Caenorhabditis elegans: one gene and its partner. The protein of the gene in region 1 interacts with the protein of each later gene in a pairwise test. Each region holds a gene or a part of one and is shown in the gene's direction. Other genes may lie near its edges.

What was found.
Region 2: the proteins of fbxo-11.2 (region 1) and arrd-8 interact in a two-hybrid assay, tested with the Caenorhabditis elegans proteins (one large-scale study listed by BioGRID).

What each region holds. Positions count from the first base shown.
Region 1 is NC_003281.10:1,046,978-1,055,064, reverse strand, and holds the start of fbxo-11.2 (UBR-type domain-containing protein), read left to right. Parts: upstream 1-1,822; coding exon 1,823-1,949; intron 1,950-2,282; coding exon 2,283-2,412; intron 2,413-2,476; exon of another isoform or gene 2,477-2,681; intron 2,682-2,698; coding exon 2,699-3,221; intron 3,222-3,582; coding exon 3,583-3,773; intron 3,774-4,696; coding exon 4,697-5,093; intron 5,094-6,062; coding exon 6,063-6,546; intron 6,547-7,163; exon of another isoform or gene 7,164-7,235; intron 7,236-7,415; coding exon 7,416-7,563; intron 7,564-8,052; exon of another isoform or gene 8,053-8,087.
Region 2 is NC_003280.10:12,063,341-12,068,221, forward strand, and holds arrd-8 (Arrestin C-terminal-like domain-containing protein), read left to right. Parts: upstream 1-1,744; coding exon 1,745-1,926; intron 1,927-2,633; coding exon 2,634-2,739; intron 2,740-2,784; coding exon 2,785-2,950; intron 2,951-3,519; coding exon 3,520-3,626; intron 3,627-3,694; coding exon 3,695-4,228; 3' UTR 4,229-4,298; downstream 4,299-4,881. Other genes in the region: Y17G7B.22 (C2H2-type domain-containing protein), read left to right, coding at 4,763-4,828.

The sequences.
Region 1 (8,087 bases):
TTTTTCAAATCCTTCTAACTTTTTCAGTTTTTGTGGCACTTTGCCAAATTTTAGCACAAAATAAGCTCCAAAGCTTGGAGTAGTAGTTTAGTTTAAAAATCCTTAAAAGTTTGAAAAATATCAGTCTACCAAGAGTTTCCGTGGGGGGTCCTCGAAATTTTTTTTAGTTAAATTTATTTTTTTCGGAAAATTTCAAAACCCCCTAACTTTTTTAGTTTTAAAGATTTATATACCAAATTTTAATTTAAAACAAGCTAAAAATTTATATTTTTCAAAAAATTGTACGTTATCTAAGAAAGCTGCAAAATTTGTGGCTGTCATAAGTTTTCGTGGAAGGATTTTGAATTTTTTTTTGGCAAATTTTAAAAAAGTTCAAAACTTCATAACTTTTTCAGTTTTTGAGATATTCTGTTAATTTTTAGCTTATAAATAGTTCAGTTACTTAGACTAACAGGTTAATTTAAAAAATCTTTTAAAATTTCGCAAAATATCATTCCACCGAGAGTTTCCGTGGGGGTCCTCAAAATTTTTTTTTTGAAAATTTCAAACCATCCTAACTTTTTCAATTTTTCCGTAATTCTTGTCAATTTTAGCTCAAAATGATCCTTAAAACTTTCTCTCCCCATCCAAACAGGTGTGAATCAACATATTGCGCAATGCTGAGACGCAGGGTGGGCCGGAGGGGACGGTACTAGGCTAGTACGCGCGGCTGGCCGGGCGGCGGCCTCGTTACGGAAAAGTGGAAGAGTGAGGAGAGATATAGAAGAAGTGTGACCTATTTCCCGCATACAATATCTCCCCGTACCGTCATCTTTTCCTCCTCTCTCTCTGTCTCTCTTTGTCCCTCTCTCCGATTTCCAAGGATTTTTGCATAAATCCGTCACGTGGCACGAGTTTTCTGGGTCCTGCCACGCAAACTCGTGGCGTGCTGTCATTTATGAATTTTGCTAAAGTTGTTTATTTGAACCTGAAAATTGAATTTCCGGGGCTTATTTTAATCTAAAAATGAAGCAAATAGCTCCAAAATTGAGAAAGTTGTGAGGTTTTGAAAATTCCAAAATTTTCAATTTTTTTTTTGAAATTTTAAGTTAAGGTGCCATCACGAAAACTTCTGATTAAAAAGTTTTAATTAATTTTCCATGAAAATTCATATTTTTGCGGTCATTTTGCATTAAAAATCGTAGAAATATCTTAATTTATTAAAAAGTTAGAAAACTTTGAATATCTGAAATTTTTGCCAAAAAATATTTTTACAATTTTTAGGTCCCACCACGAAAACTCTCAGCAATTCAAGATTTTCAGAGTAAGACATTTTACAATAATTGTAACTTAAAATTCAAGTTTCTACTGTTATTTAACATTAAAAATTATAGAAATATCTCAAAAATGGAAAAAGTTATGAAATTTTTAAAATTTCAGTTTTTTCAGCAACTAAATTTTCAAGGTCCCGCCACGAAAACGCTTGGCAAACTGAAATTTCTCTGTTACGGTCATTTTGAGTTATTTTGTAGGAAAATTCAGAATTTCACAATCATTTTTCCCAAAAAATGATAAAAATATCTCAAAAATTGAAAAAGTTGTGAAATTTTTGAATTTTTGAACTTTTTCCTAAAAACGTTTTTTTGACAACTCCCAATTTCTCGGAAATTTCCAAATTTTCTCAACTTTACCCCAAAATTTTATGTGTGACCTCTACTAATACCATAACAATAACAACAATAGCCTCCAGACCCCCCCCCCCCCCTCAGCCGACCTTCACAGGTGTCTTACACCGTCTGCGTCTCTGCCCCCTCTCCCCACCGCCTAGCCTACATGCTTGCAGATGTCCGGCGAGGAGGAAGAAGAATGGCGTGTACTTTACCAGGAGACCTTCGGCTATCGCCTGCCGCTTTTTCACCCCGAACATGCCGTTTTTCAGTTTCAACCCGCGCCGAAGCAAAAGTTTACAGGTGAGAACTGGAAAAAGCTACGTAACCCGCGCTACAGTAACCCAGTCACCTTGAAATTATTGCCATTCGATTTCTCTCGCTGAGAGCTTTCAAATGACACCCATCATGCCTATGCTCCAACGATTTTGAGTTTCGACACAGCTGAAACTGATGCTACAGTACCCCGCGTGGCGAGACCCAAATTTCCAAAACTGCTCGGAACCCGGGCATGATGGGGGTCATTTGAAAGCTAACAACAAGACTAACAAAATGCTGATATTTAAAAATTAATAGGGCTACTGTAGACCGGGGGGTTAATGTAGGTTTTCTGCAAAAAAAAACAGTTAATTTCAGACGAAGAGTTCAATCCGTGGAAGGAGGCCTACGAGCAGTTGAGCCGCGGCGTTCATGTCATGAAAAATTTGGAGCAATTTGTGGGAGCCGCCGATATTCAATGTTTCGATCATATTGAGGAGGCCTTGAGGTGTGAACTTGGACTTAGGCTTGGGCTTAGGCCGATGCTTAAGCTTAGAGTTCGGCTTAGGCTTAGGCTTAAGCTTAAGCTCAGGCTTAGGCTGATTCTTAGGCCTAGGCGTAAACTCAGGCGTGGGTTTAAGCTTAGGCTTAGGCTTATGCTGATCCTTCGGCTTAGGCTTATGCTCAGGCTTAGGCTTAGGCTTTGGCTTTGGCTTAGGCTTAGGCTTAGGCTTAGGCTTAGGCTTAGGCTTAAGCGTTGGCTTAGGTTCAGGCTTAATCCCAAAAATTTCCAGATTCCTCGACGAAAACGACGAGGGTGGTCACCACGAAAAGCTGATCTTCCTGCACGAAGGCACCCATGAAGTCACGCACACCATCCGAATCACCTCCGACGTTCAGATCCTCGGCGCCTCGGGCTCCGAAGACATTGCCACGTCCGTGGTACTCACCGGACGCCACGCGACTGTACTGGAATTCCAGAGCAGCGCCTACATGGGCTATGTGACTGTGAAGTATGAGGTGGACACGGAGCACGAGGCTCACGTGGCTCAGGATATGGAGGTGGATGCTCCCAGAGCTGGTGAAGAGGTGCCTGTGGGGGAGCCCGGCGGAGCTCCTGGAGCTCCTGGAGAGCCTGGAGAGCCCGAGGAAGCCCTGGAACCTGAAAAGTTGCTGGAAGCCCACACGGATCCCACTACGAATTGCGCCATGATAGTTACCGGGCTGCACGTGGAGCCCATCATTGAGCACTGCAATTTTCAGTCTGGTAATGCTGACAGTCATACTGTAGTTGTCAAGGATCACGCTGCACCGAAGGTAAGTTTTTCACAAAATTTTTATAACTTAAAATTGAAAAAAATTGAAAAAAAATGTTTTTTCAAAAATTTCCAAAAAGTTACCAGGCTGGTTTTTAACCTAAATTTCAACAAGATAAATAAAAAATTCACCCTAAAAATTACCACCACACTTCTAAAATTTCAAATAAATATCGAAAATTTCAGTTGAAAATCGAAAATTTCCCATGAAAACTCATGTTTCTCAAAAGCTAAGCTCCCAAAATTATTGAAACTTTACCCAAAAAATTTCCAGGTATTTTTTGATAGTATGATCATTTAGAAAGTGTAGTCCGTGGCTTTTCAGCTATTTCCAGCGGAGCTCCAAATTCCCAAATTTTCAGATGAGAAACTGCACTTGCATCGGAGGCTCGGGCGGCGGGATCATTATCACACACCACGCTGGCGGCTACTATGATAACTGCGAGTTTGCGCAAAATTTGCAGTCCGGAATACGTGTGCAATTCCAGGCGAATCCATATTTCTATAACTGTCATGTCCATCATCAGGGTGATGTGGGAATCTTCATTTTGGAGTGAGTCTTTGAAAAGTTGAAATATCTTGAAAACTAAAAGAGCTAGCAGAAAGTTTTCAACTGAGAAGTTGTAGAGCTTGAAATTTTACATATTTTGTTAGTTGAAAACTTTTTTCTTAATCTCATCTCCGCTGAGTTATGCGCCTTTAAAATTAAGGCGTCGCAGAAGTGCAGAGAACGAGGGGGGAGGGAGAGGGTGCGAGACGACGAGAGTACTCTCGTCGTCTGCGTCTTTTCCTCATCCTTAAAATTGCTGTTTCTCTGCGGGGAATGAAAACTAAAAAATTTTTTAATGGAAAAATGTTCCAAATTTGATTATCTTCAAATTGGCTGTATTTTGAATCTTTTCCAAAAAAATATTTTTTTTTCGAAATTTTTTTTAAATTTCAAACTTTCATAACTTTGCCAGTTTTAAAGAGTTTTGAGCCATTTTTGTTTTAAAATGTGCAGAAATTTTGTATAAAAGTTGTGTTAGTGTCAGAAATTTGCTTCACATATATGTTTTTGCGCGAAAAATGAAAAAAAAAATTAAAATCTCAAAAAAAAAAAAAAAACATTTTCGAAAAATTTTCAAATTTCAAATATCCATAACGTTCTCAGTTTTAAAGATTTTGAACCCATTTTGATCCAAAATATGTGAAAATAATTGATCAAAAATGCAACAGAAAATAGCAGAAATGATTAAATACGCCAAACCCCAGAGTTTTCGTGACGGGAGCCGAAGTAAATTTTTTTTGAAAACTCGAAAAGTTCAAACCTCTGTAACTTTGTCAATTCTCAAGATTTTCCACTGATCTTTGGCTCAAAATGTGCGTCAAAACGTCCAAATTTCAAAAATATTAGTAAAAAAAATACTTCAAAACTCTTTTTGTGTCAGGACCCAAAATTTTTCAAAAAAAAAAAATAAATAAAAATTATTTCAGCGATGGCCTGGGCCATTTCCAAAACTGTCAAATCTACGCAAACCAAAAATTTGCGATAGAGCTCAAAAGTGCTCAGGCCAACCCCACAGTAACCGAATGCGAGATTCATCACGGGATGTCAGGCGGCATATGCATCCACGAGGACGCCACCGGCCAATTTCTGAAAAACCGGCTCCATCACAACGAATTCCTCGCGATTTGGATATCAGAAGGTGCGAATCCGATTGTTCGGAAAAATGAGATTTTCGACGGGAAACACGGCGGAATTTTTGTGCATCGGTATGGAAAAGGGCTCATCGAGGAGAATAAGGTGTATGGGAACGAGTTGGCCGGCATTTTTGTCGATACTGGAGCCGAGCCATGGATTAGGAATAATCATGTTCATTCTGGGAAACAGGTGAGTCATTTTTAGATTTTTTTTTTCGAAAAAAAAAATTCAAAAAAATTTTTTTTCCAAAATTTTCAACAAAAAAATTTCAACCACGTTGGGGAATCGAACCAAACTGAACTGTTCCAAACAACTCCCCACGCAAAATAAAAAAATTTTCACCGCTGTGGGGGTCGAACCCCGGTCTTGTTATTACCAGCCCAACTCACTATCCACTAGGCCACGGGAGCAAATTTTGAATTTCGCTGTTTCCGGGCTAGATTTATAGGTTTTGAGGTGAATTTTTAAGTTAAAATTTGCAAAATTTACTCTAAATTTGAAATTTTGGCAATTTGAAGAAAAAATTATCTTAAAAATTAAAAACTTCGATTTTTTTGTTAAAACGGATTTTTCAAACCTAAAACCGTCCCCAAATTCAAGTTTAAACAAAACAAAAAAAGTTCGCGGTACCGGGGGTCGAACCACGGTGTTTTGATTACTAGCCCGACTCACTACCACTAGGCCATGGGTGCAAATTTTTAAATTCGCTGAAAAATAATTTCTGGGGTAGAAATTGAGGTTTTAGGGTGAATTTCTTAGTTAAAATTTGCAAAATTTACTCCAAATTTGAAATTTTTAGCAAATTAAAGAAAAATTGATCTTAAAAATTAAAAGCTTCGATTTTTTGTGAAAATTGTCGTTTCAACGTTAAAACTACTATTAAATTAAAAATTCAGCTAAACAAAAAATTTTGCCTTGTCGGGGGTCGAACCCCTGTCTTGTGATTCCAAGCCATCTCCACTATCCACTAGGCTACGGGTGCATATTTTGAATTTTGTTGAAAAATGGTTTCCGGGGTAGAAATTGAGGTTTCAAGGTGAATTTTTTAGTTAAAATTTGCAAAAATTACATAGAACCTTTCAAAAATCGAACAATCGCTGAAAATTTTTTCAAAAAACCAAAAAAAAAAAAAAAGATTTTTAACTTTAACTATTCCAGGCCGGTGTCTACTTCTACGATGGAGGCTCCGGTGTCCTAGAATCCAACGAAATCAACGGAAATACCCTAACAGGCGTCCAAATCCGCACTGGCGCCAACCCACGTGTCATAAAAAACCGAATCTGGAATAATGACAACGGAGTACTGGTACATGAAGCCGGCATGGGATGTTTTGAGGAAAATACAATTTTCGACAACTCAATGACCAATGTTTTCATAAAAACTATGGCCACACCGGTTATCCGGAGGAATAAGATTTTCGGATCTCGTGGCACCGGAATTTCTGTTACCGACGGAGGAAAAGGGCTCATTGAGCACAATGAAATATTTGATAATGCTCAAGCGGGCGTCCTGGTGCTCTCTGACTCGGCGCCGAGTCTCCGTGGAAATCGAATTCATGGGAATCGATCTGCGGGCATTGAGGTCTCGTCTAAAGAGGAGCTGGTGTTGGCGGAGAATCGAGTGTTTCGGAATAGATTTGGAGGTAAGAAGAAAAAAAAAATTAAAAGTTGAAAAACTGAAAAAAAAAATTTTGAAAAAAATATTGGTAAAAATATTTCGACCACAGTGGGGATCGAACCCCGGTGTGTTGATTGGAAGAAATTTTTGAAAATAAATAATTTTTCAAATTATTGGCATAAATTCCAAAAATTTAAAATATTGATTTTAGTGTGAAAACTTAGTTTTTTTTTTTAATGAAATTTTGAAAAAAAAACCGTTTTCCTATAATTTTTGCCTATAATTTGTGTAGCTTCATTTTTAGCATTTGATGTTAAAAGAACACACATAACTAACAAAAAAACTAAATAAAAACTTTCTGGCCCAGCGGGGGTCGAACCCCGGTCGCGTGATTACCAACCGTCCCCACTATCCACTAGGCCACGGGTGTTAATTCTAAAAATTGTTGAAAAATGGTTTCCTGTGTGGAAAATACGATTTTAAAGTGAATTTTTTATTAAAATTTTGCAAAAATCACTCTAAACCGTCAAAAAATTCCTTAAAAATTTTTTTGTTCACAAAATCCTATAGAAAATGACTCAAAATCAGCTTTAACTTGAATAAGTAGTGCGAAAAATAACATTTGGCTCTAACAAAAATATTCGACCAAGCGGGGGGTCGAACCCTGGTCGTCTGATTGGCAGCCATCCATGTTACCCACTGCGCCACAGGTGCAAAATTTCAAAATTGAAAAAAAAATGGTTTCAGGAGTGAAAAATGATGTTTTAGGCTAAATTTTTAATTAAAAAACTCGAAAAATCGCCGAAAACCTTGTTTTTTCTCAAAAAATGCCAACTTCTCTAGTTTTTCACCCTGTTTTCAACCCTAAAAATGCGACATTTAAAAATTTTTTAGGAATCATGACGGCTAGCTGCTCTCAAGCATCCGAAGACCAAAATCAGGTGTACGACAACTTGGACCACGTGGAAAAGGCCATCAAAAAGGGCCAATGCCTATTTTCGGTCAGCGGCAAGGACTTTTACCCGATGCACAATTTTTATAGGTGAGTTTGGGTGGAAATAAGGGAAACTGGAGAGCAACTGAGCTATAAGCGTAAATTTTCTGAAAAATTGCAACAAAAAAAAACTTTTTCGAAATTAAAAAAAAAATTTTTTAATTAAAAACTTCGATTTTTTTGTGAAAACGAGTGTTCCAAACCGAAAACTGTTTTCAATTTCAAGTTTCAACAAAACAAAAAATTTAGCCGTGCCGGGGGTTGAACCCCGGTCTTGTGATTCCACGCCATCTCCACTATCCACTAGGCTAAGGGTGCATATTCTGAATTTTTGTGAAAAATGGTTTCCGGGGTAGAAAATGGTTTAAGGGTGAATTTTTAGGTTAAAATTTGCGAAAACTGCTCCAAATTTGACATTTTTGGCAATTTGAAAAAAAAATGGATTTCAATAATTAAAAACTTCGATTTTTTTTGAAAACGGGTTTTCGAAACCGAAAACTGTTTCAAATTTCAAGTTTCACCAAAACAAAAGAAATTTGCCGTGCCGGGGGTCGAACCCCGGTCTTATGATT
Region 2 (4,881 bases), on another chromosome or scaffold:
GCATTTTGGACACCTAGATAGTATTTGTTTTGAGAGACCTAGGAGGGGGGAAGAACAAATATTGTATGTTGGGATGGTATTTAATGTGTTAGAGACCAAAATCATAAAAACAAGTAGTAAAATGGGATGGAATAGATCAAAATGTAGGAATTTAATTTTTCAATTTATTTTAAGAAATTTATCAACGGATTCGGGGAATTTTGTTCTAAAATTTAAAAAATTGACCGTTAAATTGTTAAAATTTATTATTATTAATATGATTTATTATTATAATTAAGATTGTTAAAATAATTATAGAATTTTTCTAAACTTTTGCAAAGTTTGTCAAAAAATTACACATAGTTGATTCTCTTTTGATTTTTCGTTTTTTTTTTCTCTAAAATTATTTTTTTTTAATTGGAAAAAAACGACAAAAAATCCAATACGTAACATGGCAATCGGCGAAAAATTTTCAATTTTCCTGTAAAAATATTTAGAATGCAATACATTTTCTTCTTTGAAAAATGAAAAAAAAATCATAAAAAATCCAGAACTAAATAAAAATTTAAAACTCATATTTTGAAGAATATCTTGAAGTTAGAGTTGAAATTGAGTAACAAAAATAACTAAAAATTTGAAAAAAAATTTGAGGAAGGAGGCTTTTAATTTTTTCCTAAAATTCCTATTTGAATTTCTCCTAAATCTCCAGCTAGAAGTTATATGCCGTACTTTTTTGCTCTAAAATATAAAATAAATGAAAACGGTTTTGTAGGAACTGTTTCAAATAATTAGAGGAATTTATTAAGCTTACAAAAAAACATTTTGGCCAACTATGAACTATGTTTTGTCGCGTTTAAACGCGACAAATCATTTTTCTCAAAGAGAAAAAAATTTGCTATATTTCAAGTCAGGAAACTTTTTTTCTACTCACAATTAAACATAGCGAACCTAATATAATTTCCAAACTTTTTTTTATGGTGGTGGAATTGAAAAAAAACATTTTTCGGGTTTTTTGAAATGAATTTCGTAGCTACAAAGACGGTCATACATTCATTTGAAAGTACGGAAAATTTGCTATTTTTATAGTCAGGACACTTTTTTTTTGCACGAACATAACCAAAGCAATTTAAACAAAAAAACTATTGACTGTAAATTTTTTGGTTAGTTTTTTAAAATATATTTTGCCTTCTGAATTTGGAGCGAATTCAAAATAAAAATGGAATATCAAAATTTTAGCCAAAATTAGATTTTTCAGGGTATCTTAAATCAAAACCCCGTTAACAATACACTATCTTTAATAACTTTAATAATATATAATCGATAAATTCCAATTCATAGCGAATTTTTAAAAAAAGCACACCGATTTATATTTAATAACCATGTTAACATTAAAAACTTGTGAAGAACCACGTCATCGCATAAAGTATAAATACACAAATAACCCATAAATAGTATATTGTTCTGATTCATGCTCAAAGTTTGCACTGAAAAGAAAAAAAAGACCAATGAAGTACGTTGTCTATGACGTTTTTGCACGTTTTCAGACTTTATCAATTTTCCGGCAAGAAAACATGACGTAAACATGGTGCATGTTTTATAAATAAAAGTTATTAGTTGATAAGAGAATGGAATGAACTGAGTTGTTTCTTTTTTAAGATTTTTTTTCTAGTTTTTATTCGGAACTTATTTATATCAACTAATTGTAAAGAAAAATATTGGATGTAAAGCTGTAATATAGTATAATTTCATGTCAGACTTACAAAAAATGGGAGACACCACATTTCTCATTGAATTCGACCATCCTGCCGCTGTATACTCCCCTGGACAGAATGTAGCAGGGAAGCTAACAATCAGAAATCGAAATGCTTTAAATGCACTGGCTCTGAAAATTTGCATCCATGGAGATATTGAAACGTTGTGGAGGAAATTTGAGAATAAAGGGAGATAGTGAGTTTTGGGGACTATTTAAAATTTCAAAAAATAGTCAAGAAAAACGAGTTTCAGTAAAAAAATTTCTCAGAAAATTCAAGTTTTCGGCCAGAGTTGTTTTTCCAGAAAAATCTGAATTTCTCAATTTGGGGTTAGGCATTTGAAGTGAGCCAATATGTAAGGTTCTGAAATGAAAGTGACGTAGAGGAAGATTACTTACTAATTTATAAGTTCTGATGACATGAAAATACAACTAAAATCGCCAATAGAAGCTTCGTTAAAAAATATATGAAATTATTATTGCCGCTCGTTTTATGGTACATACAAAATTTAAATACTTCCGCCAGATATTCATCTCTCTCCTTTCCAAAACAGTAATCAGATTATCCACTATTTAAAGGTACATTCAAAATTTGCCGAGCTTGGCTAATTGGGCAAATTGGGCAATCTTGCCGTGCTGGGCAAACTCCGAAAAATGAGAACATTTTGATATTTCTAGAAGCGCCAAAACTACTGAATTTTTAGCACAACTTTGAACTCAACTTCATGTTATTTTACTATAATTTTTTGAACAAAATCAACAGTTTTGGCCAAATTTGAAAAAAAAGCCTATTTGTGATGTGTGCGGCAAATTTCAAAATTTGCCGAGCGCGGCGAATTCGGCTGAACCAGTTTTTTGAAATTTGCCGCGCTCCCCTGATTTTAACCACCATATTTCTTTTCAGTGACCGACATGGTCGATGGTATCGTAGCTCTGAACATATCAACTATACTAGCAAGATAAACGTCTTGGAAGGAATCGCCCAGCCATGGAGTTCCATTGAAAACGCGGTTAGTAAATTTGAATACACTTTAATATTTACACACCACATTTAGAACAATAAAATCCCTGGCGGTGTGAACATATTTCCGTTTCTCTTCCAACTTCCTGCAAATCTACCACCGAGTTTTGAAGGGACGCATGGAAATGTTCGATATTCGGTACACGTGGAATTAGATAGGCCATGGAGGATGAATGTTGAAGCGAAGAGGGTGTTTTCTGGTGAGTTGGAAACGATTTTGATACGACCTGAAAAAGAAAAGAAATCATGATTTAATGTGAATATTTTTTGTGTCAAAATATAATATCTCGCAAATCCGCAAATTGTCTTTTTTTGCCGGAAATTTTAAATTTCGGCCAATTGCCGATCTGCCGTTTGCCGGATAACAATTTGCCGGAGAAGACGGAAACTTGAAACTGTGCCTTTTTGAAATTTTCCCCCGTTTTTTAACGATATTCTCATAGAATTCACTGACTTTTAAAAATAGATGTAAGGCTATTCATCGGATGTGTACAATTTTTTCGTTTAAAACTGAAATTCTGAAAGTTCCAGAAAAACTCACAACTATCGGCAAATACAGATTTTCCGGCAAATTGGGCAAATTGTCAATTTGCTATATTTGCCGGAAATTTTCAATTTCGGTAATTGCCAATTCGCTAATTTTGCCGGAAAAATCGTTTGCCGCTGAGCCCTGATTTTAACCCCGTCTGGGCTAAACTGAAGCTTGAAATCATTAGCAATTTATCTATAAAAGCAAATCACATTTAAAATTTAATTTCGAATATTTCAGTGATTCCGGTTATCGATTTAAACTCCATTCCAAAAACAATCAATCCAATGATCGTATCTTCTTGCAAGCATTCTGGATTATTTTCTAACAAAGAGGTTAAAGTTAAGGTAACATAATTTTTTTTATTTCATGCTAATAACAAATAATGACTCAATTAACAAATTAATATTTACAGATCTCCATCCCAAAATCCGGATACATCCCAGGAGAGACCATCCAAGTATCTGCTCTAATTCAAAATCACACGAAGAAGCCTATATATTCTATAAAAGCAAAATTGGAGCAGCACGTGCATTATCAGGCTCAACAAGAGAATTCTCATCTATTTCCAGAAGAACATTGTCATAAACATTGTGAGCATAAAACTGCTCAAACCACAATGTCGAAAGTTGAGAAGAGTTGTCACGTGGAATTTTGCTCAAATAGCCAAATAAATGTGCCACTTGTTCTGCCGAATCAGTTGGTTCCTAGTTTTCGAACAGGAATTATTGAAGTAGACTATTGTATTATTGTGGATATCGGAGAGAATAAGAAATTGAGATGTGAACTTCCGATTACTGTTGGAACAATTCCCATTGGAGTATTCACAAGACCAATTGCCTATTCTATTACGGAAGCTCCTCCTAAATATGAAAACTTCAGTCAAATTGTAGAAGATTCTCAGGCAAGTGCTCCACCGCCGGAATATGAAAATGAAGAACATTTTTAACATTTTTTCGTGTGTGTATATCGAATTCTCATTTTCAGTAAATTAAATTTTTAATTTGCCGGTTTAATTACATCAGTGTAGTGCCGGCGGATTTGCTTCATGACTGCTAAGTGAGCAGATGTGCATGTGCATTCTTTTGTTCTCTATGTCTCTGCGTACATCCGCTTCTCGCACAACGTCTCCCGTAGTTCATCGATTGCTTTAAGTATTTCATAGTAATGTATTTTCCGTTTTGAAACGTTTAATGCAATGAATGAATTTGAATTTGAGTGCTCAGTATTTCCAATTTTAGAATAAAAAAAAAGCATTTTATTTGTCCTAAGTGATAACTTGTATAAAACAATTTTGTTTCGAATACTTTCAGACAAATCCAAATTTTAATGCAACTGTATTATAAATTTTTTTGAAAAGCATTAGCTGCACGCTTCTTATTAAGACTAATTTGAAACAACTTTTCAGATGTCCTTTTTGAGAAATTTAACTTTAAAAAATCTGTTGCCTTCTGTTGGGGATTGAATTAATTTCTTTAGAATGATGTCATCAAAGTTGACTAAAGACGAAATTGAGAAGAAAATTGCTGAGCTTCAAGAATTACTTCGGGTAAGTTTTTTGAGGTTAAATATTACAAAAGACGAGAAAAATTATCTGGCGTG